Linked DNA regions of Danio rerio. The protein of the gene in region 1 interacts with the protein of each later gene in a pairwise test. Links are inferred from orthologs where the notes say so. Each region holds a gene or a part of one and is shown on either strand. Other genes may lie near its edges. The genes, in order: kifc3, necab2, abi2a, cdr2a, zbtb8a, stx11b.1 and trim54.

Evidence for each region.
Region 2: the proteins of kifc3 (region 1) and necab2 interact in binary tests that used the Homo sapiens proteins (3 or more experiments, as listed by UniProt). The two-hybrid records come from large-scale screens. The link is inferred for Danio rerio from reciprocal best matches to the Homo sapiens genes KIFC3 and NECAB2.
Region 3: the proteins of kifc3 (region 1) and abi2a interact in binary tests that used the Homo sapiens proteins (3 or more experiments, as listed by UniProt). The link is inferred for Danio rerio from reciprocal best matches to the Homo sapiens genes KIFC3 and ABI2.
Region 4: the proteins of kifc3 (region 1) and cdr2a interact in binary tests that used the Homo sapiens proteins (3 or more experiments, as listed by UniProt). The two-hybrid records come from large-scale screens. The link is inferred for Danio rerio from reciprocal best matches to the Homo sapiens genes KIFC3 and CDR2.
Region 5: the proteins of kifc3 (region 1) and zbtb8a interact in binary tests that used the Homo sapiens proteins (3 or more experiments, as listed by UniProt). The two-hybrid records come from large-scale screens. The link is inferred for Danio rerio from reciprocal best matches to the Homo sapiens genes KIFC3 and ZBTB8A.
Region 6: the proteins of kifc3 (region 1) and stx11b.1 interact in binary tests that used the Homo sapiens proteins (3 or more experiments, as listed by UniProt). The link is inferred for Danio rerio from reciprocal best matches to the Homo sapiens genes KIFC3 and STX11.
Region 7: the proteins of kifc3 (region 1) and trim54 interact in binary tests that used the Homo sapiens proteins (3 or more experiments, as listed by UniProt). The two-hybrid records come from large-scale screens. The link is inferred for Danio rerio from reciprocal best matches to the Homo sapiens genes KIFC3 and TRIM54.

What each region holds. Positions count from the first base shown.
Region 1 is NC_133193.1:48,507,779-48,512,292, forward strand, and holds the start of kifc3 (kinesin-like protein KIFC3), read left to right. Parts: upstream 1-1,375; 5' UTR 1,376-2,250; coding exon 2,251-2,553; intron 2,554-4,514. UniProt on the Homo sapiens protein: Minus-end microtubule-dependent motor protein. Involved in apically targeted transport. Required for zonula adherens maintenance.
Region 2 is NC_133193.1:22,796,620-22,801,245, forward strand, and holds the start of necab2 (N-terminal EF-hand calcium-binding protein 2), read left to right. Parts: upstream 1-1,670; 5' UTR 1,671-1,684; coding exon 1,685-2,002; intron 2,003-4,626. UniProt on the Homo sapiens protein: May act as a signaling scaffold protein that senses intracellular calcium.
Region 3 is NC_133184.1:13,879,084-13,883,421, reverse strand, and holds the start of abi2a (abl interactor 2a), read right to left. Parts: upstream 3,023-4,338; coding exon 2,906-3,022; intron 1-2,905. UniProt on the Homo sapiens protein: Regulator of actin cytoskeleton dynamics underlying cell motility and adhesion. Functions as a component of the WAVE complex, which activates actin nucleating machinery Arp2/3 to drive lamellipodia formation.
Region 4 is NC_133178.1:62,640,421-62,644,259, forward strand, and holds part of cdr2a (cerebellar degeneration-related protein 2), read right to left. Parts: intron 841-3,839; coding exon 692-840; intron 498-691; coding exon 330-497; intron 1-329.
Region 5 is NC_133192.1:26,257,028-26,260,866, reverse strand, and holds part of zbtb8a (zinc finger and BTB domain-containing protein 8A), read left to right. Parts: intron 1-1,205; coding exon 1,206-2,029; intron 2,030-3,496; coding exon 3,497-3,666; intron 3,667-3,839. UniProt on the Homo sapiens protein: May be involved in transcriptional regulation.
Region 6 is NC_133195.1:29,252,042-29,256,431, reverse strand, and holds the start of stx11b.1 (syntaxin-11b.1), read right to left. Parts: upstream 2,950-4,390; 5' UTR 2,908-2,949; intron 1,423-2,907; 5' UTR 1,418-1,422; coding exon 530-1,417; 3' UTR 1-529. UniProt on the Homo sapiens protein: SNARE that acts to regulate protein transport between late endosomes and the trans-Golgi network.
Region 7 is NC_133195.1:42,032,488-42,036,326, reverse strand, and holds part of trim54 (tripartite motif-containing protein 54), read left to right. Parts: intron 1-1,833; coding exon 1,834-2,006; intron 2,007-3,839. UniProt on the Homo sapiens protein: May bind and stabilize microtubules during myotubes formation.

The DNA.
Region 1 (4,514 bases):
ATTATTTTTGTGGTATTTTCAGCTGATACTTCACAAACACACACACACACACACACACACACACACACACACACACACACACACACACACACAAACACTATAGGGACTTATTTTACATCTTGTTTAAATGAGTGTAAGAGGCCCCCTTTGAAGAAGAGAATATTCAACTTGTATCATCATTTTGGTATTGTCTTATATACAGTTGAAGTCAGAATTATTAGCCCTTGTTGATGTTTTTTTTCTTTTTTAAATATTTCCAAAATGATGTTTAACAAAGCAAAGACATTTTCACAGTATGTCTGATAATATTTTGTCTTTTTGAGAGTCTTATTTTCGGCTAGAATAAAAGCAGTTATTAATTTTTTAACTACCAATTTAAGGACAAAATTATTAGCCCCTTTAAGCTATTTTTTCCGATAGTCTACAGAACAAACCATCGTTATACAATAACTTTCCTAATTACTCTAACCTGCGTAGTTAACCTACTGTAATTAACCTAGTTAAGCCTTTAAATGTCACTAAGCTGTTTAGAAGTGTCTTTAAAAATATCTAGTCAAATATTATTTACTGTCTTCATGACAAGGATAAAATAAATCAGTTATTAAAAATGAGTTCTTAAACCTATTATGTTTAAAAAATAAAATAAACAAATAAAAAATAATAATAATCAATAATAATAATAATAAAACAGGGAGGTTAATAATTCAGGGGGGCTAATAATTCTGATTTCAACTGTATATAAAAAAAATTGTTGTTTGTTTGTAGTTTTCTGTTTGTAGATTTGCCCAGCCCTGCCACTTTAGTTTGAGCACTTACTTCTATACTGGTTAATTTGGTTCGAACAGGCACTCTTGTTGTTTTCCCTTGGTCTGAAGCATGTGAACGGCCCCTAAAAAGGGTAATGAACCAGAAGATGGCCTTTTGTTTGTCTTGCGCACACACTTCAAACATGATTCAATTTTTCCCCCCTGAAGTACCAGCACAAGACAGCGCCGATCTTCTATGTCCCCGAATCCTAATTGATCACTCTAGATTGGCACTGTCAGGTCTCACTGCGCCACATTCCCATAGTTGTCTGTTTCCATATTATGTTCTATCCATTGTCACACAGCAGGAGCATGATGGATGGCTTTGTAGGACGCAGTTCAACAGGGTCATCTTACCACGGAGGCGACCAATCACAGACCAGCTTCTTTATCCTCAGCAGTGCATTTAAAACATGTTTTGAGTTGATTTTCCTTATTTTGCATAGATGCAAACACTGTTGTTACATCATCGGCTAAGAGACGCTTAGCTGTCCGACTGCAGTGACAGATGGACACAATGAGAAAAGGGAGGGCGAAAGAGTGAAAAGCATTTTCTCTCTCGGAGTTATAGGACTACACCAGCATCGCAGGAGTTGGATGGGTTATGAATGGTTGGAGTTTGCCCAGTCATTTGGACCTAAAAACGGGGATAAAGACTATCAAAACAAGGCATTATGAAAGGAGTGGTCTGACCTGTGAGTTTTGTCCTGCAATCCAGTGACTGTAAAAATACAATAAAACCATTACTGACGCAAGTGGAGGTGATGATTTGTCAAAGTGCCAATGGAGATTACGACTGAGAGTTTCATGGTTACTCTTTCGATCGAATTTCACTGGAATACACCTGTAATCTTCTGGAAGATCTCCAAAGAAGAGGCGTGCAGATGGGGAAGATAAGCACCTAAATATTATGTATCCTGATTAAAGAAGCATTTATCATGCTGTTGGCTTACATTGTTTATCAGGCGATATCTTTATAGACGTGTCCAGGTAGGTTAAAATGGCTTTGTGGGGTTTAAAAGCAGATGTGCGGTAGTCGTCCCTCCCTCATTCTCTCTTGAACGAGATTGGGAGATGAGAAAGCCATCTCATTTGCTGATCAGATCACAGACAGATTATCAAGCCTAAGTGAGAGTTCTGGAGCTCGAAGGTGTTGGAATAACACGGTCTTACCTTCCAGGAGTTGTTGTTTGAGTGAAAACAGTGGTGGGAAGACATGCAAGAACTCAACAATACTTGATTCTAAACTGGCTGATCACCTTCACGTCGACCGATAAAGCTCATTGCTGCGCAATTCGGAAGAGTTTATATTACGACTGTAACTTTAACCAGAAGATAGTGTTCAGTGCTTGCGCTCACCCTGAAATGGGATCATCCAGAATCGCTTTTAAAGGATACTCCGTCTAAATGTGTGTGTGGAGACGTCTCCAGTAGTCAAGCCAGCATGTATGTTCTGTGCACCTTGGTGCTGCTGTCTCTTCACAACCTGTTTAGGAGACCCCGAGTCCTGGATCCCGTTGAACCCAAAGCTATCGAAAGCCCAGAGAAGCACAAACCAGATGTAGGCAAACACGGACGCAAGAAGAGAAACAAACACCACATTCCTGGAAGTTCTGGACCACTAGAGACTTCAAGAGTGCATGGGCAGAGTGACGTTGATAGATGCCTTGACGGATTCAGCAGCAGAGCGAGTAAAAGAAGATCTGTTCATCAGGATAATGTGCTGGAGAGGAGGAAGATAGCACAGGTGAGCGTGAACATGGAGGTTAAAGTAAAGAAAGTTGTTAGTTGAAGGCTGTTTGCATTGCAGCCATCCAGTTTAATGTTCACTGTTAACGATTTTTGTAAATTACACAGTATTTAGCTGTAATGTGAACTGTATTTTACTGTAGGACACTCATGCAGTATGTTACTGTATTTTAATGCTGCATTGTGAAAATTAGTGTATATTCTACAGTAAAGATTTACATTAGGGTTGGGCGATGTTGACCGATTTGGCATCGTACGATGTCTAATGTGAAACATCGTGATGGACGATGGCATCAGTGAATCATTTATTTATTCATAACAAATTAATAATTTGTAGCCACCCGTTGCGACTACCTGACCTGCATAGTCTTTGTTTTATACATAACCAAATCATAAATGAATAAAGATAAATTACACATAAATGACCAACCGGTCAATATTTTTTTTTGCGGGATTCTGGCATGAATAGGCAGAGTGATCTGTGTCATTATAATGGCGTCGAAAAACTTGGTTGGTAAAAAAAAAGGTGCACAACCAACAGGAACCATCCAACAGTATCTGAGGTTTAAGCTAGAATTACAATTTACTAAAAGTACAAGCGTGAAAGCGAAAGACTGAAGCAGTGTACTGACGCTGTGTTACCTGATAGATTCAAAAGACAGAGGAGTCGTTAGATAGAGACAAGATTAATTAAATATCAAGTTTAACATCTATAAGATGCAATCCAGCGGTACATCTTTAATAAATTGTCCAAAGTGCACTGCTCTCTGGGATTTTGTGCTCAAAGCACCCACTGACTGCCTAGAGCTCAGACGTGCGCAAATGCTGCAGCACATGCCATGTGTGTTCAGCAGTATGTTTTCAGAAGTGCTAGATAAAACGCCAGTGGATGTGGATCGTTTTCGTTCTAAAATGCCATTTTAATACTAAGATGTATTGGTCTAAATGGGGCCTGAGTGTGTAATTCTAGCGACGGGGGCGGGGCAGAGGATGTTTCTCGGCCTTTGTCGATCGACGATGGCATTGCCTATTGACCCAAAACTATTATACATACATATCTGTAAATACAAGATAAATGGTGCTGTAAATGTAAATACAGTCTATTTGCTGTACTTGATTTACAGTAAGTTACTGGTAAATTGCTGCCAGTATGTTACTGTAGATTCTGCAGGGAATTAAGTGTTGTTTTTGACCGATCAGTCCTCAAGCTGGAAGAGTGTAACTGATGAGTCTCTCTGCTACTGGAAAACCTCCATTTAATCCAAAATGCAATTATTTATTCATTGATTTCTTCTCATTATTTATGTGCGTTGTATTATTGATTTGAAGAAACCTTAGACGGCTTTAAGTTGAACATATTCCTTTTCTGAGTGTGTGAATTTCATCAAGTCTACTGGAGCTATTTTAATCAATCAAGTGCGTTTTTCTCGACTTTTCATCCTTATCCAGAATTTCTGTGATCAGCTGCTTCTGGTGGGAGTAATTCACTATGGGAACATTTTGTAAATGTTCTTTCTGCATAATACACACAGGGATTTTCATTTACCTGGAATCATGTTTATCCTCCCAATGTCCCATTTCTAATGTTCTCTGCAGTCTGATGGATCGTTTTAGCAGATCAAATCCTGAGTGGTTACGCAAGCAGTGGGTTAATCAGAGAGCTCTCTGTCCCCTTTAATCATAATTTAATTCGCATACGCTCTGTTTACTGCTATCCCTTTTCCTCAATCTTTATGCTTTGACTTGACGAATTAGCAAAAATCTGGATTTGCTAGAATTTTAACATAGTGCTTGTGATTTATTACACCACTTCTTTGTGTGCACATTAGTTTTGTACGCTCTTAGTTGGGGCTATATGTAGAATTCAGAAACACTCAACCTCTTTGGCCCAGGGCTACATTTTCGAGAACTGAGATATATGTACTAGGGTTGGGCGATGTTGACCATTTTGGCATCGTA
Region 2 (4,626 bases), about 26 Mb from region 1:
TATTTTTAAAGGTCTTTAATCGTACATTTTTATAGACTTTTAGTGACCTTATTCTTCACTGTGGAAGTGTACTTGTTTTTGCAATTGTTTTAGATATACCAATTTAGCTGCCAATAGAGGAACTCATTCATTCATTCATTCATTTTCTTTTCGGCTTAGTCCCTTTATTGACCTGGGGTTGCCACAGCAGAACGAACGGCCAACTTATCCAGCATGTGTTTTACGCAGCGGATGCCCTTCTAGCTGCAAACCATCACTGGGAACCCATACACTCTCATTCACACACCTACACTACAGACAATTTTAGTTCCAATGGCTGCACCTGCTCGTACATTAAGAATAAGGTCAATCGTGAAGACAGGAAAGCATAGGGAGCAGAGAAAGGGGTAGTATAGGCAAAGGACCTTAAGCTGGGAATCAAACATGGGTGCTATATGTCAACGCACTAACTACTAATCCATTGGTGCCAACAAAACTGAAACTTTTTTGTGGATTTCTGCCATTCCTTTATAATAGAGTGTTTTAGGGGCCTGGAAATGCAAACATTTCAGATTGTGTTTCAGAGAGAGTGTCTACAAAAACTATACCATTTTAATTTCTGTGTACAAAATACAAAAATATTTTGTCATGTGCATGCATATCAATTTTTGCTGATACAGTATGAGCAAATGGGAACACTATTAACAACATTGTCTTTTTGTATGCCAAAAACTTTTAACTTAATGCAAAGACTTCACAGTTTTTTGTACATTTGGTAAAATGGGGGTTTTGTTTAAAAAAAGATGCAAATTTTTTTTCATTCAGAATTATAGGTTTTGGAACCTAGAAGTTATTCAAGTGTTTCTTTTCACTTCTTTCCACAAGGTAAACATGGTAACAGTTTGCCGATTTGTTGACAATGTATGGCACAGGTGTCAAACTCAGTTCCAAAAGGGCCGCAGCTCTGCACAGTTTAGTTCCAACCCTAATTAAACACACTGATCAAACTAATTGAGTCCTTCAGGCTTGTTTAAAACCTACAGGTAAGTGTGTTGGAGCAGGGTTGGAACTAAACTGTGCAGGTCTTCGGCCCTCCAGGAATTGAGTTTTACACCTTCTGAGTATGGTATGAATCACTGAAAATGTATTTACTGAAAGCAACACATACTCCATAAATTATAATAATTTGCTTCATCATAAAACAATAATGCACATGCATAATATAGACTTGAATGTATATAATCAGTTGTGTCTTCTTAAGTTAGTGGAAATAAGGGGATATTTAATCTAAAAATGAAAATTCTGTCATCATATACGCCCATCATCACAATCAGGGTAACCATTGGCTCGTTTTTCGCGGGGTTATTCCTGGGTTTTAATACAGCTACCGTTAAATTGGCTACTTTACAGAGATGAAGTAGAATATTTGGTAAAACAGGACTAAAATAACTACCATCATTAATTCAAAAGTTATTGTCTGCTATCAGTTCTCTTAGTTGATCCTCTCTCTAAATTGCAAATAATGCATTTTCTCTCATGTATTGTATCTTATTCTACTGCAACTGTACTAAATTCATGGCATTTACTTAACTGCTCCAATTTGGAGTGTCAGAAGGGCTGAGTTTTGGGCTGGGAGCCGCTGATGTCATAGCAGAGGGAGGGATCGCCCCCATAGCGCGCAGCATGAACGCTCCGCGGCAAAAGGATGTGTGAACAAGCAGCGCGCTACTGCAGGGACGGCGTCCACAAACTGCTCCACAAAGAACAAGCAAAACTCCGGGCACAGGACAGCAAAGACCAGCCCACACCCGGGGCTCAGGACAGCGAGACAGCGACGGCTGCACAGTCCGGAAACAGCGGCGCACAGCCCGGTGGAATAGACGGGCTCGTCCGCTGGATAGTCACCAAGATGAGCGACAATAAAAGCATCTCTACCCGGGAATACGCGAAGGAGGAGGCGGCGGTGGCTCAGGAGCAGTTCTTCGCGCCGGAGCCTCGAAAGGGCATCTCAGTCATTTTGGATGTAGGTGTTTCATTTTCTCTGTGTTATGAAATATGAAGTGCGCGCGACCGTTCAACTTTTATTCGGTTTCCCGAATAAAGTAATGAACTAATTTATTCATTAATTAGTTGATTAATTCAGTAACCTCAGAAGAGTTTTAAGCATTAATTAGACATTAATGACTCATACACAACTAGTAAGCCTTTGATGCTTTGGGAATACAAAAAGCAATTGCACTTTATGAATTTATCTACTTTTAACTTTTAATTCTGTCTTTATTTTTTCTTTCTTTTATGCATTTCAGTTGCATGTTGTTATCTAACATGCTTTGCATACTTTAATACATGGATTTTGTAATTCTGATTGGTTAGTTGCAAGCAATCAGTTTTTGTACAGTAACCTAATTGGACATAGTTGACGATAGAAACATACCAGAAACATACTACTTTCGCATATCTCTCCGCGCACTCGGAAACTAGTGCCACCGAGCGATTTTAAATGGTCATCAAATGGTGATAAAAATTGTCTAGCATTAAATTTGGTGTCTGTCTAATTCGCAAAAAGCCTAAAACAATGGAATGGTGAGTCTTAAAAGTCCCTAAGCAAGCAGAAGAGCTACACAGAAAGACAGAAAGTTTAAAGATTAAATCTAAATTTCAGAAAAACAAATTTTCATTCAATGTTTTTGTTTAATTTATTACTATTATATGATTGCAGTGTCCTAATAACGCCTATATAATGGACATTCTTAGCAAAAAATCTAGAAATACAATGAAAAATAACTTAAATAAATAGTTTTTGTTCAAGGTAAATCATTTGAGTAGCCATTTTTGAAGAGTAAAATAATTTACAGCTGAAAGACCCCCCTTCAGGATGAGATAAAGCCCTCCCAATGGCACTCTATAACTGCATGCACACGCGCTGTCCCAGCCGTATCCAAATACTGTTCAGCTTCTCGAATGTGCACTAGAAAAATCAACCCAATTATAAAACACACCAAATATTCTCTAGTAGCTACAACGCTGCATACATTTGACTGTACCTTTCAGCATCTTGAGCTTATACAACAGTTTTCTTTTGCTCTGAATTTATCTCAGAGAACCTAAATAATTTATTGTGCTTTTCCTGTGAGCCTGGCAGTTATGCTTTGTGGTTGGCTGCTGTGGCGAGGTCTCAGCAGTATTGATTTAGTAGGTCAAAGTATTGCCTCAGTATTGTTCTTCATTGGTGCTGGATAATTATCTGATGGACATACCTCTCGAGATTTCCACATTGCTTTTAGGGGGAGAAGTTAAAACGTTTAAGAGAGTGATAATAAAGTAGTTCAGTTCCAGACCCAGATACAGTCTCAGGTAACCAGAACATATAAGGGGACGAAAACTAATTAAAAACCTCAGGAAAGAAAAGCCAAAGGCACCAGATGCACCCTAGTGTAAATACAATAGTGGAGGCGGGGTTATGCAGATAATGAGGTGCTGTAGATAATTTGTCTTTTATGGATGGTGAGCATGTGTACACGATTTTCTCGTCGAGACTTAAGATACGGAGCACAGCTGCTTGTAAGGGAATTGATTTCCCCCTATACTTTCTGAGAGAATTCCATTACTTATCTCAATCTTGACACGTCTTCTGCAATGTCTGTTCCAGAATCAGCCTGCATTGGTAAACAGCTGAGCGCCATTCATTATTAGAGTTTATTCTGAAAGTGTCTGAAGCAGCTATGCAATTGTAAAGACCCCATTTTCATTTCTGAAAGCCTTCGATTCAGCGGCTAGACCAGTTATAGATTCAGAGCGTGTCAAATGCTCGCATCCCTGGCTTCCCCAAACCTGACAGTAGAGCACTAACAAGCTGTCGTAAAGAAGGCTATAAGTGTGTTTCGCGCTATTGCTTTCTTACATAATCATGCCTCTGGTCCCAGACCTCATCTGGCTTTAGGGAGTAATTAAGTGCATTTAATGTTTTTGAACATTTCGTTTCCACTGGGGTTGAATGGTGTGCGCTAAATTACAGTAGTTTATGCTGTAGGACGCACATGTGTGAGAATAGTTGATCAAATGGTGGCAGCACGTGACATTTGCTAAAGACTTCATCGCACTATTGACTTGAACTTTAAAATACAAATATATCTGGCATTTGTTCAGTGGATTGGATTTGAGCCAAAGCACGGAGAATCAATCCAATTGACTTGGCAAGTATAAATGGGAGTCCCGTATTAGTGCCTATTAATTGAATCCATTTGTCACTCTCCCGTTTAAAGTCTTTGTCAATCTTTTTCTTTCTTTGGCTGACATCTCATTCTCTCTTGTTATTTGTTCCAGATCCTTTTATCGACACTAAGAGTTAGAGTTAGTTTGCAATACTTTATTCTTACTTTTTTATATTTTTATCATCAAAAATTAATTAATAAAACTTAATAGATGGGATAGATCAGGGGTTTTCAAAGTGTGAGGCGTGCCTCCCCTGGGGGGCGCCAGAGCATGTCAGGGGAGGCGCAGGAAAAAATATAATATAATAAAAATATAATTATTAAGTTTAATTATTATATGTATTTTTTATTATATTTAAACGTTTTAATTAAACAAAGCAAAAAAAAAAAAAAAAAAATACGTCAAATATAAGAAAACCTTTTTTACCCAGAAGGC
Region 3 (4,338 bases), on another chromosome or scaffold:
TCCTTCAAAGAGTTCATTTCATAAAAAAGGCTTCTGGAATTAGTAAAAGCAGGACAGTCCAGTAAGGGTAGGGTTTTCACCTTGGAGCAAAAAACCATGTGGTATTCTCGTATGCCCAATACGACATCTGGTAAAAACTACTTGATCAAATCGATTGTTAAAATGTCTTTAAATTCTGTGTGAAATTTCAGGTTGGATTTCATGTAATTTATTGTTTTCTAATGCATCCCATTCCTTTTGCCACTTGTTTAAAATGCAAGCGTTGATAAAAGGTTTCATCTCTGATGGAGGAATTTGGCATTTGATCACTACTTGCTTCAAAGCATCTTTAGCAGCTGCATCAGCTCGCTCATTGCCTGAAAGTCCAACATGTCCTGGAACCCAGCAAAAAATGATGTGATAAAACTGATTTTGTGCTAACCTTGGATTAAAAATAGTAGATATTCTGACTTAGTAATATTAATATAATATAGCAATATTGGCATTATAGTATACTGATTATTTTTAAATATCTAGGTAACAACAACAACTTTTTCCCCATTGAACACAATATATTTCAATATTTTGGAACAGTAAATATGTCAAAATAATTAAAATAAATCATTGATTCTTCATTCGTTTCAAAAGCACAGATTTCTTTACTTGAAAATGCATCTTTGAATATCTTTCTTTTCATTGGATATAAATAAGGCAGTGAAAAACACTGTTCGGGTCCAAAGCATGCTTGGATGAAGTTACAAGTCTTTAACAAGTAAAAAATCTGTATATATATTGCAGGAACGATATAACAGAAAAGATTTGCGGTTTAGAAAAAAAACTGACTTTTTCAAACCACAGTAAACCTTGAAAACGGTTATCATCCCATCCCTATTATGTGCTTTTTTTAAATCATAAAACATCATTAGCTTAAATATAGGATAATAAAACGCAAGTAGTCTTCATGTGAAGAGCATTATTTGTATGCTGTGCTGCCTATATGTAGTGAGCTCCAGATGGTGGCATAGTTTAGTTACCCATATAGACATTCATTGATCACACTGAACAGAGAATTCCATGTCCAAATACACAATTTACAAGAGCACAGGATGGAAAATGTGACAGAAGGTCTGCTTCAATGACATTCTCATTACTCTTGTTCCTTCACAACTCTGTTCTAAAATCCCATAATGTAAATATTTAAAAACTGGCCCTTGCTATTAAAAAAAATATTGCTCCTAACAAACTCCTAAGTGAGAGTTTGCATACATCAGTGCTGAGAATCACAAAAACTGCTTTTGGATATAAGTCAAAAGATGAAGGCATAGAAATTGCTTTACAATTATGTAAAGTATATAATGTATGAGCAGATGTGCAAAGAATATTGTGAATATTACAGGAAAAAATGGAGGCTACAAAATAAAGTTTACTTTCTATAATTAACAATTTGCTTAATTCATTTGCATTAAGTTTGTATGCTTGGGTTTAATGTCATCACAGCTTCTATCTGCATTTTTATGTTTAGAAAAAGTGTACAGGAGATATAGATTAAATTAAGATTTTACCATTGAATTTTTAAAAAAAATCTAAAACAGACAAAAAGATTTGCATGGCTCTTCAGTCACCCATAAAAAAAACATAATTGAGCAATTCCAGAATCATGGATGTGACAATTGTAGTAAAAACTCAAACCATAAATTCACATAGAAAGTATATGTTAACATAATATCGAAACATCTGTTTATATTTTCCAAAACAACTAACCACAGCGTTATGGGAACAGAAAAATATCAATCTGTAAATACATTTTAAATTTTAAAAGAAGAAAATAAACATGCATTAAATGTTAACATGCAAAAAAAGTCAGCAGAGTTTACAGTATAACATACTACTACTAACTGTACAACCCAAAAGAAGTAATGTTAATCAAAGAGATAAGAGTTGGCTCAGTATGAAACAAAAATTATTGATTTCATTTTATTTGACATTTTTGAGAGAAAAGCTTTATTATGGATAAGATGCCTCTCCGTTATGGATGTGACAGATGTAAAATTGCTACTTGTGTGACTTTGGTAAATCAAATATAATAGTTTGAAAACATTGACAGAGACATTTCTGAGTATTTTTAAAGTACTGTAAAATACTTACACAAAAAAAAATGTAGAAACTGTATGTCTATTTTGGTAAAAACCTATTTTTTATGGGAAGGTTGATATTTGCATGGAATTGCTCAATTATCCAGCACTTAAAGAAATTGCTTTGAAATTTATACTAATCCAAAAACATGATATGCTACTAACCATCATGTCAAAAACACTATCACCCCAGTATTGATTGCACCAAAACAGTTATGATTGCAATGTACCAAAAAGCATATAAAATACGAATTATTTACAGATTACAAACTGACTGAAATTTTAGACAAAAATAAAAACAAAAAATAATCTAAAGGTAATGTTTAGACTTACAATATGCTTCAAACAGCATGTCAAGATTTCACTTCAAAGTGGTTACAATCAGCTAAGTGTCGTCTATTTTCACAATATAGGTCTACGTTTACAAGACTAAATGATTTGAATTTTATCCGCGTTGTTTTGAACAGTGCTGTCAGCTGCTTCACTCGCATTCATTATTGACAGAGCAAAGTTTCCCCAATGATCATGTAACTTGAATACTACCTACCTACACGCTCAAATCACTGCACACAGAAGTTCAAGCCCTCCAAAAGTAGCCACCGCTTAGTTTAAAGCCTCACCTACGAGTGTCATAAACTTTTATAGTTAATCTGAACACGGACAAGCCGCGGTTGTTTGTACGTACTTAGCGCTGAGCCTCAACAGATGATCAACAACCACCGCACACACATACACACACTTCCAGCCTCCCCAACTCCACAAACACATACAATGCGTACTCCTTCGCCGCTCACCTGTACGTAGTTACTTTCGCAGTACTCGGCGACTCTGTCAAGGTTGGTGAAACTGTCCAACAACGCTCTGCGACCCGCTGGAATTTCCTCCTCCAGCAGCATCTGCAGCTCCGCCATCTTTACATCTCCCTCTCTCTCCCTCCACGCGCAACTAGCGACAGGAAGTACCGCCGCTTCACCTCCCCGTTGAGTTTGGGGAAAGCAGGGAAGCGCGTCTACCAATCCTACTATGGCGAAAAGTTGAAATATAATATAATATAATATAATATAATATAATATAATATAATATAATGTAATGTAATGTAATGTAATATAATATAATATGATAAAATATAATATAATATTATATAATATAATATAATTAATATAATATAATATAATATAATATAATATAATATAATATAATATAATATAATTAATATAATATAATTAATATAATATAATATAATATAATATAATATAATATAATATAATATAATATAATATAATATAATTAATATAATATAATATAATATTAGGATTATTATACATCATGCAATCAAAAATGGCTGATCACTCAAATTACTTTTGTTGCTTGTTTAAACTACTTATTTAAAATAAGTTGAAACAACACAATTCTTAAGTTGTTTTTGGGACAACCTAATTATTTTATGTTGAACCTACTTAAATTTGAGAAAACAATTAAGTTGATGTGATCAATTTGTTGTGGAACTATGAAGCATGCTCAATAAACTCATTTCATTCTGATTAATAGTGCTGATTTTTAAGGTCTTTAGCTCATCAAGTTGCATTTGTTTGTTCAAAAGAGAGTGAAAAGATAAATATTATATCAATATAAAGGTGTCAATAGTGAAAACTTTGTTTTAAAATGTAATTTATTTGTTTGATTTGATCATTATTTACAATGTCACATGATCTGTTAGAAAACAAACATCCAAACAATTTGATGAATGTTTTTGCAGATCAACATTTTCATTTATTTGTATTTTATATAGATGTTCAAAAATTACAAAAGAACATCATCTATCTATCTATCTATCTATCTATCTATCTATCTATCTATCTATCTATCTATCTATCTATCTATCTATCTATCTGTCTGTCTGTCTGTCTGTCTGTCTGTCTGTCTGTCTGTCTGTCTGTCTGTCTGTCTGTCCGTCCGTCCGTCCGTCCGTCCGTCCGTCCGTCCGTCCGTCCATCCATCCATCCATCCATCCATCCATCCATCCAGTCTGTCTGTCTGTCTGAAATGTATTATCATCATTATGGTCATGGTTTACACCTCTCTCTCTCTCTCTCTCTCTCTCTCTCTCTCTCTCTCTCTCTCTCTCTCTCTCTCTCTCTCTCAATTCCATTTAATGTTGTCAGTGGCTTTGGTGTATTTCTCACATTATTTACATTTGCAAAACGGTTGATACATTTCTCAAAACAAT
Region 4 (3,839 bases), on another chromosome or scaffold:
TAGCCTTCTTTAAAATATGTTATTTTAAAAGTCTTCAAGAGCTAAACAGTTGACCATTTTTAAATCCATTCAGCCGATTTCTTGTCCTGGGGGGACCCTTTTAGTAAAAGAGAGTGATATACTTTAAATAAATGTCACTTCATGGGTGCATTTAGCCATATTTCTCAACATCTTGAGCTCAAAGCTAACAGACACAACCTCCACTTTTTCAGTACAAGCAAGAACTTCAGCTCAAAGTAGGTCAATCTTTGGCACGTCGAGACATGAGTGTATGACTGTGTGTGATGATGATGATGTGAATGATAGTGGTTTCTTGGCTCCACACTCACTTGTCTTGCTGCAGATCGTAGATTTCCTTCAGGCAGGACATGCTCTGGGCCCCGAGGGCTCGGCGTGCCGCTGTGAAATCCCTCCTGGACTGGGACGCCTTCAGCTCGTCCACCTGCTTCTGGAGGCTCTCCATATGAGCCTGCAGGCCATCGATGGTCTCCGTCAGGCTGCGGATGGAGAATAATAAAGTTGCAGATGCTGTGAGAACTGCTTCTCTAAAATAAGCAGCTGTGAAACTGCTGAGTTTTAACTTTGTTTCATGCCAACTTTAAACAAGTGAGACATGCACGATATAAAGAACGGGAGGGTCATTTATTTTTATTTTATTTTTTAAACCAGCCAGAACTGGCCTGATCCTCACCTCTGGATCCTGTGCTGGGACGTGCGGTTCTCCAGCACCAGCCGCTGGTTGCTCTTCTCCAGGTCTCGAGCAGCCAAGTCCAGCTGCTCGTACACTTTGGCGTGCTGGTCGTTCATCTGCCGCAGGAGATCCACCTGCTTGGTCAGATACTGAAGAGAGAAACAGACAGACAAAAGGCTTTCAATATTTACTCTTATCCAGATTCAGATGGACTCATACACACAATGTTAATACAATTATCGGTTGAAGACTGATGGTGAATTAACAGTGTTTAGTGTCAACGCTTGACAGAGGGCGTGTCTGAAGTTGGGGCTGGCACGTTTGTCATAGCAAGCGTCAGCCAATGAAATTAGCCAGCAATCAGCTACTTTCTGAGCTGGTGTATTTGCATACAGCGATCTGATTGGCTGATGCTTCCATCGGTGCTTGAAAAGTTGAGAAAGTCTCAACTTCTGCAGCAAGCAACGCCACTGAAGCAGCACCGACAGATCCACAATGCAGTTCGGCAATGCCTGATGTCACCCATTCAAAGTGAACGAGAAGCCAAGTGTGAATGGGGCGTAAATGTTTTCAGTCACCAAAATAGTACATATTCAATACAGCGTTACTGTCCATACATTCACTACATTTGTTCAGGTTATATTCTTATTTCCTCTTGTGGTGAAAAATAAATGACTGTTATATGTTTTAATAACAATTTTTAAAAGACACCCACTACAATGCCATTCGGTGTAATATCAACAGGCATATTCAGATTAAGAACAATTGATGACATTAACAGACTGTAAATATCATAGTTTTGCCCTTAAATACTCATTAACTATCATTTTAAAGCTTTATATTTTACATTCTCCCACAAACCACTAGGTTTTACCCATTTTTCAGATGATTTTAATTGCTTCAAATATGTAACATAATTAACATACAATAATTTTATATAACTCAGAATGAATATGTTTTAACTTTTTTCATATGCTTAATGTCATTGGAACTATTTCATCAAAAAAGTACATTAAAGAAGACAATTTATTTGCATGTAATTTACTAGATAAATACAACTATATATATATATATATATATATATATATATATATATATATATATATATATATATATATATATACATATATACATATATATACACATATATATATATATATATACATATATAAACACACACACACACACACACACACACACACACACACACACACACACACACACACACACATATATATATATATATATATATATATATATATATATATATATATATATATATATATATATATATATATATATATATATATATATATATATATATATATATATATATATACACATATATATACACACATATACATATATATACACACACACACACACACACACACACACACACACATATATATATGCATACTAGGGTTGTAACAATATACCGGTATGACGGTTTACCACGATTTGAACGTGCACGATTATCATACCATGAACAATTGCATATCAACGGTTTTAACCCTTAAAGACCGAGACAGCCGCCCGCGGCTAAAAATAAGTATTGCTCTTAAATGTTTAATAACTTTTGATCCGCTGATCCGATTCATACAATTCAAAGATTGGCATAAAGAAGAGAACCTCAGCTTTCCAGTGCTGTATCACATAACATTCGCGGACTTTCAGAGGCTCCGGAATCAGTGCGGTTACGTCATCAACATTTGACAACGCTGATTTGACAAAGAAACGCTCGTCACTGTGTCTCCGGACAAATCAGACATGATACATTGATGCATTGTCCCTCCTCCATGCCCAGATTGGTTCAAACTCGCAATATCACAACCAATAAGCATAGGTTTCACTTTTGTTTGTGGACCAAGCTTTTTGAACAACACGGAATGAGAGAAAGGCATACATTTATGCGCGGCTAAATAAAACGCAAAAAAAAAAAGTTTTGCATGAAATAATTCTCATACTAAGTACTTTTGCATGCACAGCAGCACAGAAACATGACAAAACAGTGACACAGCAAAGACAAACTGCTGCTCTTGCTGTTTTCAAAAGACGCAAATGAAGATGCAGCTGTTTGTCTGCATTGCAGACAACCATATCCATATCCATAGACAACCATATCCATGCTGGCACATAAAACCTAGGGATGTTCCATATTAAATCTAGTTTCGTTATGTAACTATTTATAGTATAGTAAATATTTATATCTATTTTTTACTGAGGATTTGCACCATGTTTATTTGGACTTTATTTGGACTTTGACACATTATTTATTATTTTCTTATTTTTATTTGTTCATTGTAAGTGGTGTTGTTTATAGTAACTAAAAATATATTATTTGGAAAAAGTCAAATTTGCTTCACTGTTCTATTATTTTGTAACATACCGTATACCGCGAAACCGTCAAACCGTGGTATTGTTTTAGACGATTATCATACCGTGAAAAATTCATACCGTTACAACCCTAATGCATACATACACACACACACACACACACATATACTTTTTTTTTTATAAATAGATATAGAGATATAAATGTAACAGAAAGGAGAATTTCTAGTTTCCTAAACAGTGCATCATCAGACCAGTCTCATGCTCGTCTCATGACTCCTGAGTATCTTCCTCACCATTGTTTTCAGTCTCCTCATTTAAACATTAGATGTTCAGAATACAAGTGTGAATCATTTCAGTGAATCAGATCACACTGGGCATCTCAGAGAATGTCTAAAAAAACATATTTGCATAATTATATTGAAATGCATGCTAAGCTTCTCCCTTACTTTGAATATTTTTTTAATATTGGCACAGTTCTTCAGGCATCCAAGAGTATTTTTCCAATTCATTTTCCCATAGAGATTTTTAAAAAGTCTTGGTTAAACCATCAACAAAGCCTTGAACAATTTCAAACCTGCTAGGACAGGGATGGCCATGGAGAGTTTTGATTACACCTTATCCAAACACACCCGAACAAGCTGAACAAGGTCTGGGTGTTACTAAAAAAAACAACAATTAAAAAAAGGAGTGTTTTAATTAATCAAGTCTGAACTTGCCTGTCTTTGTGCGAGGAGGAGTATCACAGCATTACAAATCAGACAAAAAGACAAACCAGTGAAACAGTGTTTAACAATAGAACTGATGAGAAATG
Region 5 (3,839 bases), on another chromosome or scaffold:
AAATAGACAATATGGCCATTTCTAATTACTGTGTGCAGGCAGGGGGTTTGTTCCACACAAAGTATTACAGGCCAGTAGATAGCCTATTAAAAGGGGTGGCTTTCTGAAAAAGTGGACCTTTTTTGCAGTTATTCGCCTCATTTTTCTATTCAATTGTGCATTGTAGTGACATTTTAAGCACTAATCAATGCTGGATCCACTTGGATGCTCAGATAGTGATAATAACCACACTTTTTTGATGCATCAAAAATGTTTCCTACAATTGTGTCAAAGTACTTACCGTACTATTTTACTACAAAGTATATATTTACAAATTTGGCTTTAAACTGTAAATTAATTCAGTTTGATAAATATTCTTTTGAGATTAGCATTTTAAATAAAAAAACAAATAAATAAATATTTTAAAATGCTTATTTTTAAATACAAATTTATTATCATAAAATAGGAATCTGGTAAAATAAAAACTGTACCTATAAGCAAATAAAAACCTGACCAGCTCATTCAACTTTCCTCAGTCAGAGTTTGGCCACTTGAATAATTAGAAATTAAATTTGTCTTTAAAAATTAAATTTTCAAAAACAAAATTACATTTTGCTTTTCTACTTAGATTTTTGTCTTCTTTCTAGTCCAATTATCTTTAATAAATCTTATATCAAGAAGCATTTTCTAGGCAAGCAAAACATATTGTTCGATTTAATAAATATAATGCCAAAATTAAGTGAGTTTTACCTTAAAACAAGCAAAATTCTCTGCCAATAAAAATAATCTTGTTTTTCTTTTTGACGTAAGATTATTTTGCTTACCCCATTGGCAGATTATTTTGCTTGTTTTAAGTAAGAACTCACTTAATGTTGGCATATTATTTCTTAAATCAATACAATATGTTTTGTTTTTCTAGGAAATTCTTCTTGATTTAAGAATTTGTAGATATTTGGACTAGAAACAACAACAAAAAAATCTAAGTAAGAGAAGCCTTCTCTTGCAGTGTACCTATAATTTTCACAATTCACAATTTATGATGGCATAGCAGTCAAAATGGTGATAAATGAGCTCATATAGGGGTCAAATTCTAGAATTTGTCAGTGTGGGGGAGTCTTTGGAACCACCCGAACCACCCTGGCTATGGGCCTGTATTGAGCTTAACATTCACAATCATACAGTGTGTGTACAGATTTTGAACCTCCCCCACCCCTTCTGTTTTTCAGGCCTGTTAACAAATGGACCAGTGCAGACATGTCAGCCATCCACCAGAGCTGTCTGCTCAAGCAGCTGGACCAGCAGAGAAAGCAGGAGCTGTTCTGCGACTGCAGTGTTTTGGTGGAGGGCCAGATTTTCCACGCTCACCGGAACGTCCTATATGGCAGCAGCGGATATTTCCGGATGCTCCTGACTCAGGGAGCCAAAGACACTGTTGACTCTGTAAGTGCCTCTTTTGACGTCTTCAGCCCTGATATCTTCACCATCATCCTGGACTTCATTTACTCCGGTCAGCTGGAGCTCAACAGCTCCAACGTAATCGAGGTGATGTCAGCTGCAAGCTACCTGCAGATGAACGACGTCATTTCCTACTGCAAAGCCTTCATCAAGTCGTTCCTCGAGATCAGCACGAAAGAGGACGATGAGAATCGGTATCTGTGTTTGTCTGAGAACAGCTCTCTTCAGGACAGACGTGAGAGCACTATCGAGCCGTCCAACATGTGTGATGTCAGCATGAGTTCTCAAAGCAGACTGTGGGATGAGGAGCAGGAGGATGATCAGCCGCAGGAGGACTTTGGAGGGACGAGCCCGCAGCCGTCAGGACTTCAGCACAACTCTCCTGCACAGTCCAGCCTGGAGGAGCAGTACAGCTCGGTGCTCCCAGAACGCAGGAGGAGGGGGAGCAGGAAGAGGACGGCCTCCAGTCGCCTGGTGGCAGAAGATACTTCCCTCATTGACCTGCAGGGGGTGGTGTCACACTGCTCGCAGAAAGCAGACGAGCTCTACGCCAACCTGCCTTCCATTGTTGGGGTGGTCGGGATGTTTAACAAAGGTGAGTGTGAAGTGAGTTTGTGTGTGTACCTTGTATTCCTTACTTTGTGGGGACCAACTGTACTAGCATGTATAGCATTACCACATCTCATTTTCGACCTTGTGGGAAAATTGTTTGGTCCCCATGAGAATAAAAGCTCATAACCCAAACACAATGAAGTATTTTGAATATATTTGAATATGCAGAATGTTTCCTGTGAGGCTTGGGTTTAGGTACAGGGGTGGGGTTGAGTGACAGAGTATACAGTCTGTATAGAAAAATCATTATGTACATGGGAAGTTCAAATCCCATAAAGTTAGCTGTACAAGTGTGTGTGTGTGTGTGTGTTTGTATATATATATATATATATATATATATATATATATATATATATATATATATATATATATATATATATATATATATATATATATATATATATATACTGTTGAAGTCAGAATTATTAGCCCCTCTTTGATTTTTTTCTTTTTTAAATATTTCCTAAACGATGTTTAACAGAGCAAGGAAATTTTCACAGTATGTCTGATAATATTATTTCTTCTGGAGAAAGTCTTATTTGTTTTATTTAGCAGTTTTTAGTTTTTTAAACACCATTTCAAGGTCATTAGCCCTTTTGGGCTATATTTTTTTCGATAGTCTACAGAACAAACCATCGTTATACAATAACTTGCCTAATTACCCTAGCCTGCCTAGTTACACTAATTAATCTAGTTAAGCTTTTAAATGTCACTTTAAGCTATGTAGAAGTGTCTTGTTTATATATACACTACTGTCAAAAGTTTGTGGTCAGTTCTTTTTTCATCTTTTTTTTAAGAAAATGATTGATCATCAAGGTGGCATTTATTACATGTAAAAAATGGAGTAATGAAGCTGAAAATTCATCTTTAAAATCACTGGAATAAATGATTAAATTATATAATAAACTACTTTTGAACAGTTATTTTATAGTGCAATAACATTTCACAATTGTACAATCTGTACTGTATTTCTGATTAAATAAATGCAGCATGGTGAGCAGGAGAAGCTTATTTGAAAACATTTAAAAATCATGCTGACCCCAAACTTTTGACCGGTAGTGTGTAATCAAATGGTCATTTAAAATTGCAGTGATGTTTCATCTATGACAAAAATACATGTATCTTTCCAACCAACCTAAGTTTTTTGAACTGTAGTATATACAGATTTTTGTATTTCTTGAACTCCAGCAAGACTATCTCTGCTTCCCACAAAGTATGTTCATATTGCACAAATCCAAATCATATTTGGCAACAGAAGCCACTGAAGGTTTTAATTAACAGATTATAAAGAAGCTGCATGCAAGAAATATCTCTTTGACCTGTATCACATTTCTTGGCTCTCTTTCGTTCTCTGTATCTCTATTATATTATCAAGCTTTCAGAATAATTCTCTGATGTAGTGATGCATGAAAAGGAGCTTACAGTCATTTTTCGTCTCTCTCCGTCTCAGATGCCACTCCCTCTATGCGCTACAAATGCCCGTTCTGCACTCATACAGTAAAGAGAAAGGCAGATCTGAAGCGTCACCTCCGCTGTCACACTGGTGAGCGTCCGTATCCCTGTCAGGCCTGCAGCAAACGCTTCACCCGCCTGGAGCACCTGCGCAGCCACTTTGAGACGGTGAGAAACACATGCAGCTTCACACTCTTGTTTGTTCCGTTCACACCTCCACATGACATCCTGCACTGCTGGTCAATAATTCACATCTTGTAGAAATATGCTTATATGGCAAGCTGATTATATGATTCATTCATTTATTTTCTTTTCGACTTAGTCCCTTTATCAATACGTGG
Region 6 (4,390 bases), on another chromosome or scaffold:
GAAACTGATTGCCAAAACAAACAAAATATGATAAACATGCTTTGCAAATATGGCAAGACATGACAAATTCTTCATATTCCGGATTAATGTAAGTGCATGTTCAGTTAGATTAATAAGAATCTCACATATAATAATAAATTATAGCCTATGAATATCCCACACAATATCTAGTCAAATATCAGATTTAATTCTCCATTGCTTTTGTTGACCTCAAACACTTAAATGTGATTTACCATTTTTACAGTTTGTATCAGTCTGCAAAAGGAAAAGAAGACAAGTAGTGAGGACTAAATGTTGTATAGTTGTAGAGAACGTCATTTCATTTTTTTCAGTTGTGTGTTAGGTGTTTAATGTACTCTTAGCACGACTGCTGTTCACTTCAAGAGTAGCCTATCAAACAGTTCTTTATAGACCAAAGCTTTGCGTCAGAAATCTGTGATCTTTTTCATTACACATCTCTTTCTTTTCATTTTTAAATGACACTCAAAGGTCATCAGAAGCTCAGGTCCACAAGTCTGTTTACATTCACTCAGATTTTAGCACAAGGAAAGCATCCACAGAACATTTTCTTGAAGGGGTTGTTATTATCATGTCTTTTGGCCTGTGCCAGTTTGATAAGCACTTCCCCAAGCACAGCATCAGTTTTCTGCACATTGTTTAAGATGTAGTCTGTCATGGGTCCTTGCTCCTCCACAAGCATCGCCACATCCAGGAAGACTTCATGAAGGCTGTTGAGTCGGTTTTCCAGCTCCAGCAGTTCCCGATGTCGATGCTCGATCTGGTTGAGTGCAGAGCGAGCTGTTTTGCCCTCTGACATGATGTTATCGTTAAAGACGTTCCACTCACCGTTCTCCAGCATCTCCTCTATCTGGTCACCTGACACCTCTCGACCGACGATCTCCATTTGTCGTTGAATGTGACGCTTGCATGATTCCTTGTGATTCATCTCAGCATCATTGTACTCGGTCATTGCATCTTGGAAGTTGTTGCTCAGGGTGGCATACTGTGTTCGGGCGATTCTGGCTACTGCTGAGTTGATGCCATGCTCCTCTTGCAGCTCTTTGGCGTGGGCGTCCATCTTTTGTAGACGTGCCAAAACGTCCACCCCACGGGTCTTGATGTCACCTGCGATGGCATTGGCGTCACGCTTTACATAACTTGTACGTGTCGGTTCGTTGAGTATTCGTGTGTTTTGGTCCCTGAGCCGCTTGACCTCGAGGCGGATGAGCTGAATCTCACGTCTGGTGTCTTGAGCCTCGTCAAGCACAGACTCCATATCTTCACCATTGTCAAAAATGACAGCCTGCTGGCTGAAGTTCTCCTCCAGATCCACATTGCTGAAAGAGTCAGATTCTACCTCCTCTAGATGACTGTCGGTCTCTGAGATGGTCAGAAGATGATTTAGTCGGTCCCTCATGATTGCTATAAGAAAGAATGAAGAGCAAAGGACATTAAGTATGGGTTCATCTTGACAGGGTTGGTTTGATGTAAAGAAACTCTGCTCTAGTTAATATCAATAAGTGTGAACACAAAAAAACAGAACAAAACGCAGCAACAATCAATGAGACCCCTGAAATAGTGAGTTTCAGATTGTGTTCAAGTTGGTACACTCTTAAAAATAATAAACAGAATTAAAAATAATTCTGAATAATTTCAGAAGGAGGTTTTTGCCCTGCAACCATTATTTTTGGTTCCTAAAAAGAACCTTTCAGTAAACAATTCTTAAAATATTTTTTTTTCTTATTGTTAATAACATTTTTAAAATCTTTAGTATTTTTTACTACAAATAATGCTTTTATTAAAGATTATTTGTGAAACCAGCCATACAAACTCATTTTTTTTTTGTTTTATTTAAAAGTGTAGTTTGCTTGTCTTGATTAATTTATTCTGGACCACCAAAAAGTAAATAACAATTTTAGTTCTGGTTCTCTTTACACTCATTCAATAGACACAAAAATATATAAAATTGGGATTTTATAATTTGCAATATTATTTTCCCTCAAGCTGTCCTTGTTTTTAGGCATTGTGGAACAAAAATACCTTCTGACTGTAAAAGGCAGATAACACTTCCTTATCTACCACGAAAAAGTCACAAGTCTAACAAGTTTATCCGTGAAACTATTTCTGACTGGCGTCACTCACCAAACAAGTTTGAATGGATTGAATTGATACTTCAGCTTTTGTTTCTGTAAAGATAATATGCTCTTTAGTTATTTGTATTTTACTGCAAAGCGTATTAAAAAGAGATAATATATATATATATATATATATATATAAGACTTTATTTGAGTCACTAAAGCTTTAGCTACAGATAAACATGTGGCACACTTCTAAATTATTTAATTTTGGATTGTTGGGTTACTTTTGAAACATTTGATAGAGCTGAAATTTAAATTTATAATGAAGATGTCATTTAACAAATTTTGGAAAAAATAAATTAAGGACAAAATACGTTCGCAAGTTAACATATTAAAGTAATAGACAGAAATATTTATTATAAACAAAGTTAAGCAAGTATATTTAGCATATTGTGTTACTTTTAAACCATCCATGTGTTACTTTTGTCTCTACTGATGGGGTCAAAAGAAACAATGTGCAATTTATGCTAAAAGTGAAAATAAGTTGTTCTACATTTGTACAAAAATACCACCTGATCACGACAGACCACTCTTGTGAGTTAGTAACCATAGCAAGAAATATTTCTGTCTAAAATAATATCTTTTAAAATGAGTTTTTTATGAACAATTAAATGTTGTTTTGTTTCATCTCTTGCCTACTCTTTTAGACATGCTGACAACATTATAATGAATTTATTAGCCTAATAATGAACAATTGCCCATAAAAACATAATGTAGAGCTGAAATGTGAAAAGCAAAGTCCCATGTCATCTACAAAAAAGTCCATTACCTTATGTTTTTGTCCAAATGATTTGCAGTTTGAATTAAGTCGACATGTCATGTCAGTACTACAGCTCCATCCTCTCTGCAGTGAGGCGGCTGATGTCCTCCTCTCCCAAGTGGGGGGGTGAAGGAATGCGCGGTGCAGGGCGTAACTTTGACGCCAAACCTGTTCGCTGAATAGTCTTCAGACGTGCGTTTCGTTACTTTTGACATCATCTCTGTTTTAAGAAATTCCTCAGCGGTCAGATGATCTTCTTCGTGTCTTCCATGTCTTTTCACTAGCCTGCGTTTAAGTAAAACTATGCAGTAGTCTAGGCCTCAGAGCTATGATGATGATGATGTGTATATACGTTGTTTATAGGCTAGAATAAGAGAAGACAACTTTAAAATATGATTAAGCATCTGATATTGTTCCTTGAGGCGCACTTGTGTTGTTCGTGGTCAGATTAGAGACCAATCATGTAATTATTATTACTGTTATTATAATAATTATTTAAATAATTGTTTTGCATTATATTTGAATTTTTTTTATAATTATCTTTTGAGAATTGTTTTCTCTTACAATTATCCTAACGCAATATTAAAATGTAAAAAATGAGGAAACCGAACCGAATAATTACAGAAGCTTTTGTAAACCCAAAAGCTGGTCCAAAATGATTTAGAGACACCAGAGTTTAATCAGCCAGTGAGTGTATAAATAATATTATTCGTGAATTGCATAATTAAAAAAAAAAAAAGAAATGCTGTAATGAAGTAGTCGAGGGTTTTTTGCTTGGGGTCTAGAGATCCCAAGAAGGCGCAAGAGTGTTGGAATTATTTAGAGAAAATGCATAGGCCTACAAAATGTGTAACTAACAAATATAATTTATTATGATCATGTTTAAGGCGTTCGTGGTAACTAAACAGTTGAAAAAGCCTTTGGGACAGTTCTGTGTTTAGGCTCTACTTTGCTCGGTTCTCCCCTGGCCCCGCATTTCTTCTGCCCTCTGTCGGACACATTGGTCATCACTGCACACCTGATATAAGGCGGAGTCTATGACATCATCCTCACTCGTGCATCGCTGGCTGCAGAGGTGAAGTCCTGTTACGTTAAATGCATTTGTTATTTTCACGGACGGATTGGCTTTTGTATTAAGCTGATTTTAGGAGGAAGGGACAGAGAAGGATATAATTTGAGGTAGGCCACAGTCATAGTAATGCTTGAAAAATTTGTGTTATTCCAAGTGGCAAATAGTTTCATTAATAAGAGTCATTTTATACATTGAGCTAATATTACAATTGCACGATTTGGGATTGATTATAATTTTCTGTAATCCGTTCTGTTTTTAATGAATCTATATATCTAAAGACCATACAACGCACTCCTGATCAAGTAGTAAAACAATGATGAAGCGCACTGTAAGAGAAAGAGTTAAAAAAAAGCTTATATTTTTAAAACGTGTTCGTAGAAACTGGTCTTTCTTGTCTGGCAGGTACACGGGCACGTAGAT
Region 7 (3,839 bases), on another chromosome or scaffold:
AAAAGTTACTTTTTTAAAGTGCTTTGCCTACAAACCTCATTTATTAAAGGGAACAACAGTAAAAGATCAAAACAGATTATTGAAAACATGTTAATTAAAAGCAGTCCTAGACAATTCATCATTATATATACTCCAGACTGTTGTAAATACGCTGTAGGCCATTTACAGATGTGGATTAAAGGTAAAAATATTCATAAGACCTTGGTATTATCAGGAGTCATGTAAATTAGTTTGCCTCTATATGTTTAGACTCTTAATCATTAGCACATTTCACACAGACATTTTCAGTAAATCCTCCTCAAATATTCAGCCCGATATCACGAGTAAACATAACTATGTATATTGTCAGAAAAGTAACTATTCATACTCATTCACTGATATGTAAATGTAGATTTTTTTTTTTTTTTAAAGGAGATGTGCCTTCAAACTCCACTCCTGTCCCTACCCCTCATTGGTGGATGAGCAAATCAAACTGAAATGTATGAATGAGATTGAAATGAATATTTTATTAATTTCTCAGTGGATATAGGCAATGTATTTCGGTGCATGAAAAACAGATATAATTATTAAAATAATATTTTAGTCACCACACATATTTAGAAATCGAAAGATAATACAATAAAAAATCAAGCAAAATATACAAAAATAAATAAATAAATAAAAATACAACCTACAAAGTTTCAACAATTTTTTTTACTTATTTATTTAATCATTTTGCTTCTCTTGTTTTTTTCCTTTTTAAAAATTTTGTATTTAATATTTTTCTATAATAAAAATTTGGGTGTACTAGTTTTTGGATCGTTATCATATATGTTATTTTGTCAGACAAGCTCCAGATTTGGCTTCAGTACTGACTAATCTAATGTATATGCACAAATATAATATTATATAGCTTCCTATTAAAAACATGAATTTAAAAGATTTCTGTATGGTCAAAGTAACTTTAAAAAATTACTGTAATTTGTTTCAGCTAAATGTATTTATTGAGGGCACATAAGCAGTACCTGAAGATATCTTTGTCAGAGTAACTAATAGACTAACGTTACTGTTGTTAAAGCCTCGACCTGGCAGTATTACAAACATGTTTTAAAAAAGATATGTTGCCATCGCGAATGCTTTCTCATTCATTCATTCATTCATTTACATCTCGGCTTAGTCCCTTTATTATTAATTTGGGGTCACCACAGCGGAATGAACCACCAACTTACCCAGCATATGTTTTACACAGCGGATGCCCTTCCAGCAGCAACCCATCACTGGGAAACACCCATACACTCCCATTCACACACATAGTACACTACAAACAATTTAGCCTACCCAATTCACCTATAGAGCATGTCTTTGGACTTGAGGGGGACATACAAACTCCACACAGAAATGCCAACTGATCCAGCCGGGGCTTGAACCAGCGACCTTCTTGCTGTGAGGTGATCGTGCAACCCACTGTGCCACCATAACGCCCTGATGCTTTCTTATATAATATGGGAATGCTTCTCTTGTCTAAATAAAATTTACTTTGGCCACAGACTTTCTTCACATTTGAATCAAGTAATGGCAGATGGCAAAACATGACCTGGCGAGTTAAGTAAACATGAATTAGATTGTTATATAGAGTGTATTTAGAGTTACTATAATAAATAAGGTAACTTTTTTGCTTTAAAATCAGAATCCATAATTTTTCACTTAATCAAATATAAAAACGTACTTCAAATGAAAGACAAGGTAGATTCAGCACTTTTTTCAGTGCATTAAATGTTTAATGTCTGTGAAATGCTATTCCATCAAGTTGTTTGCTTTTAATGGCACCCCTTTTTTTGTCTTTCATTGCTCCAGGCCTCCAACCCTCTTTGGCAAAACCGGGCCTCAACCACTGTGTCCACAGGGGGGCGTTTCCGCTGCCCATCATGTCGCCATGAGGTGGTTTTGGATCGGCATGGTGTCTACGGCCTTCAGAGAAATCTGCTAGTGGAGAATATCATAGATATCTACAAATCAGAATCCACCAGGTCAGTCTTGTGTTGGGCTAGCCTGTGAACCAGTTCCAAGTTCCACCAAGGATAAACATTTCTCTTCTCGAAGCACTTACATTAATTAAGTCTATTTGCTGTTCATACTTCAAAGCCGTGTTCTGTATAGAGATCCAGCAACGCCCCAAGCTGTTGTGACACAACACTCTTGTGACACAACACTACAGTACCTGACACTTCTTCTGTTTCATCAATGAAGCTGAAACCCGGTGTAGTGACACATATATGTGATTTACTCTTATGTGGGAGATTTTCTGCCACGTCAAGTAAACACAAACAAAGACATGGGACCTGAGGCTCTGGTGACTGTAGCAATCGTTTGCCAAACCAGACTAAATATAACTAGGACGCTTTATCCCTGTGGCAATAAACAATGTGTCATGAGACCTCCTGTGAAAAATATGCGTAATTGGGTATAATAAGACTGATAGACTTTGAAGCCTTTTGTAACAAACGCTTTGTTTATTATGAATACATAATGTACATGGTCTTAGTGTCTTTGGTAAAAAGCCGGTACCTAAAAGAGGTTGTTTCAAAGGCACATTCTGATTGATGATGGGACATTTTCTCCATGCTTTTAAACCATTTTCCGCCATTTAATATGCTTCGTATGTATATAAAAGCACTTCTGAAATTTTAATTTGATGTGGACACTTAATAATTTTATTTAAATGATTATAACTAACTTATTTTATATCAAATATTAAGCAATTTTAGAATTAAAGTGTTTAGTTTAAAGAATTTTAAATGTAAAACGACAAAATTGCTCTTACTGTAAAACCTTTTATTAGACTGACCCACTTTTACTTTTAACTTACTATAAAAGGAAATTCAGCAAAGTTTTATCAGGAAAAGTGTTACAATTGTTATCATGTATTCAGTTTTAAAATCGTATCTAATTTATCTTGTGTTTATTTGTTTCTGGTCTTGTATTTACTTTTAATGAAATGTTTTCTCATGACTTTAGCCTTTGTTGGTGACATAACATTTCATTATTATTATTATTATTAATCCCATGCTCATCATCTGATGGTCAACTATTACTGTTGTCAATGAGACAGTAGCCTGGTTCCCTAAATTTAGTATGTTTGGTTATTAGTTGTACTAGTATCATGTGTTGTTGGATGAAATCCTAATGTCTGTGTGTTTCTATGTTCTGCTAAAAGCCAACATTCTTGTTAAGTTAGGCCCAGTAACCTTTCAATATTTTCCTGTTTAAAAATAGAAATAAAGAAATAACACAATATAGATAATATAGACATTTTTTATGGAACATTTACTTCCAGTTGTAGTTTGCCTTGTGTAATGCTGTATTGTCACTCAGAATTCCTGACACTGTGGAAGTAAATGCATTTTTTTTTACTATTTCCATTATTTCAAGAACTTATTCTAGAGCTGTCAAGAACTTGTCTATTACATAATCATAAAATTTATCCTTTAGCTTGATCATTTATGATTTGATAGCAATAGTTACACTATAAAACATTCTTGCTGCTTTATTTTATTTTAATTTAAACAAACTATTTTAGTCATCTCAATTTGCATAAGTCAAACTGACTAAAAATATAGTATTAAGGATTTAAGATTTATTTCGCTACGTAGGGAGCGGGGGTTTTATTTGTTGCATCGTTCCCTCATAGCAAACTAAGGCAAAGTATAGAACACAAAAAAGGTACTTGACTAAGTAAGAGATGCTATTAACAAAATGATAAACACAGTTGCTATAAAAGCCCTCAGATTCACGTCAACAAAAGGACCGTCACTCCAAAAACTGAAACACATGATCAGACTTTCATTAAAGATTACCAAAAA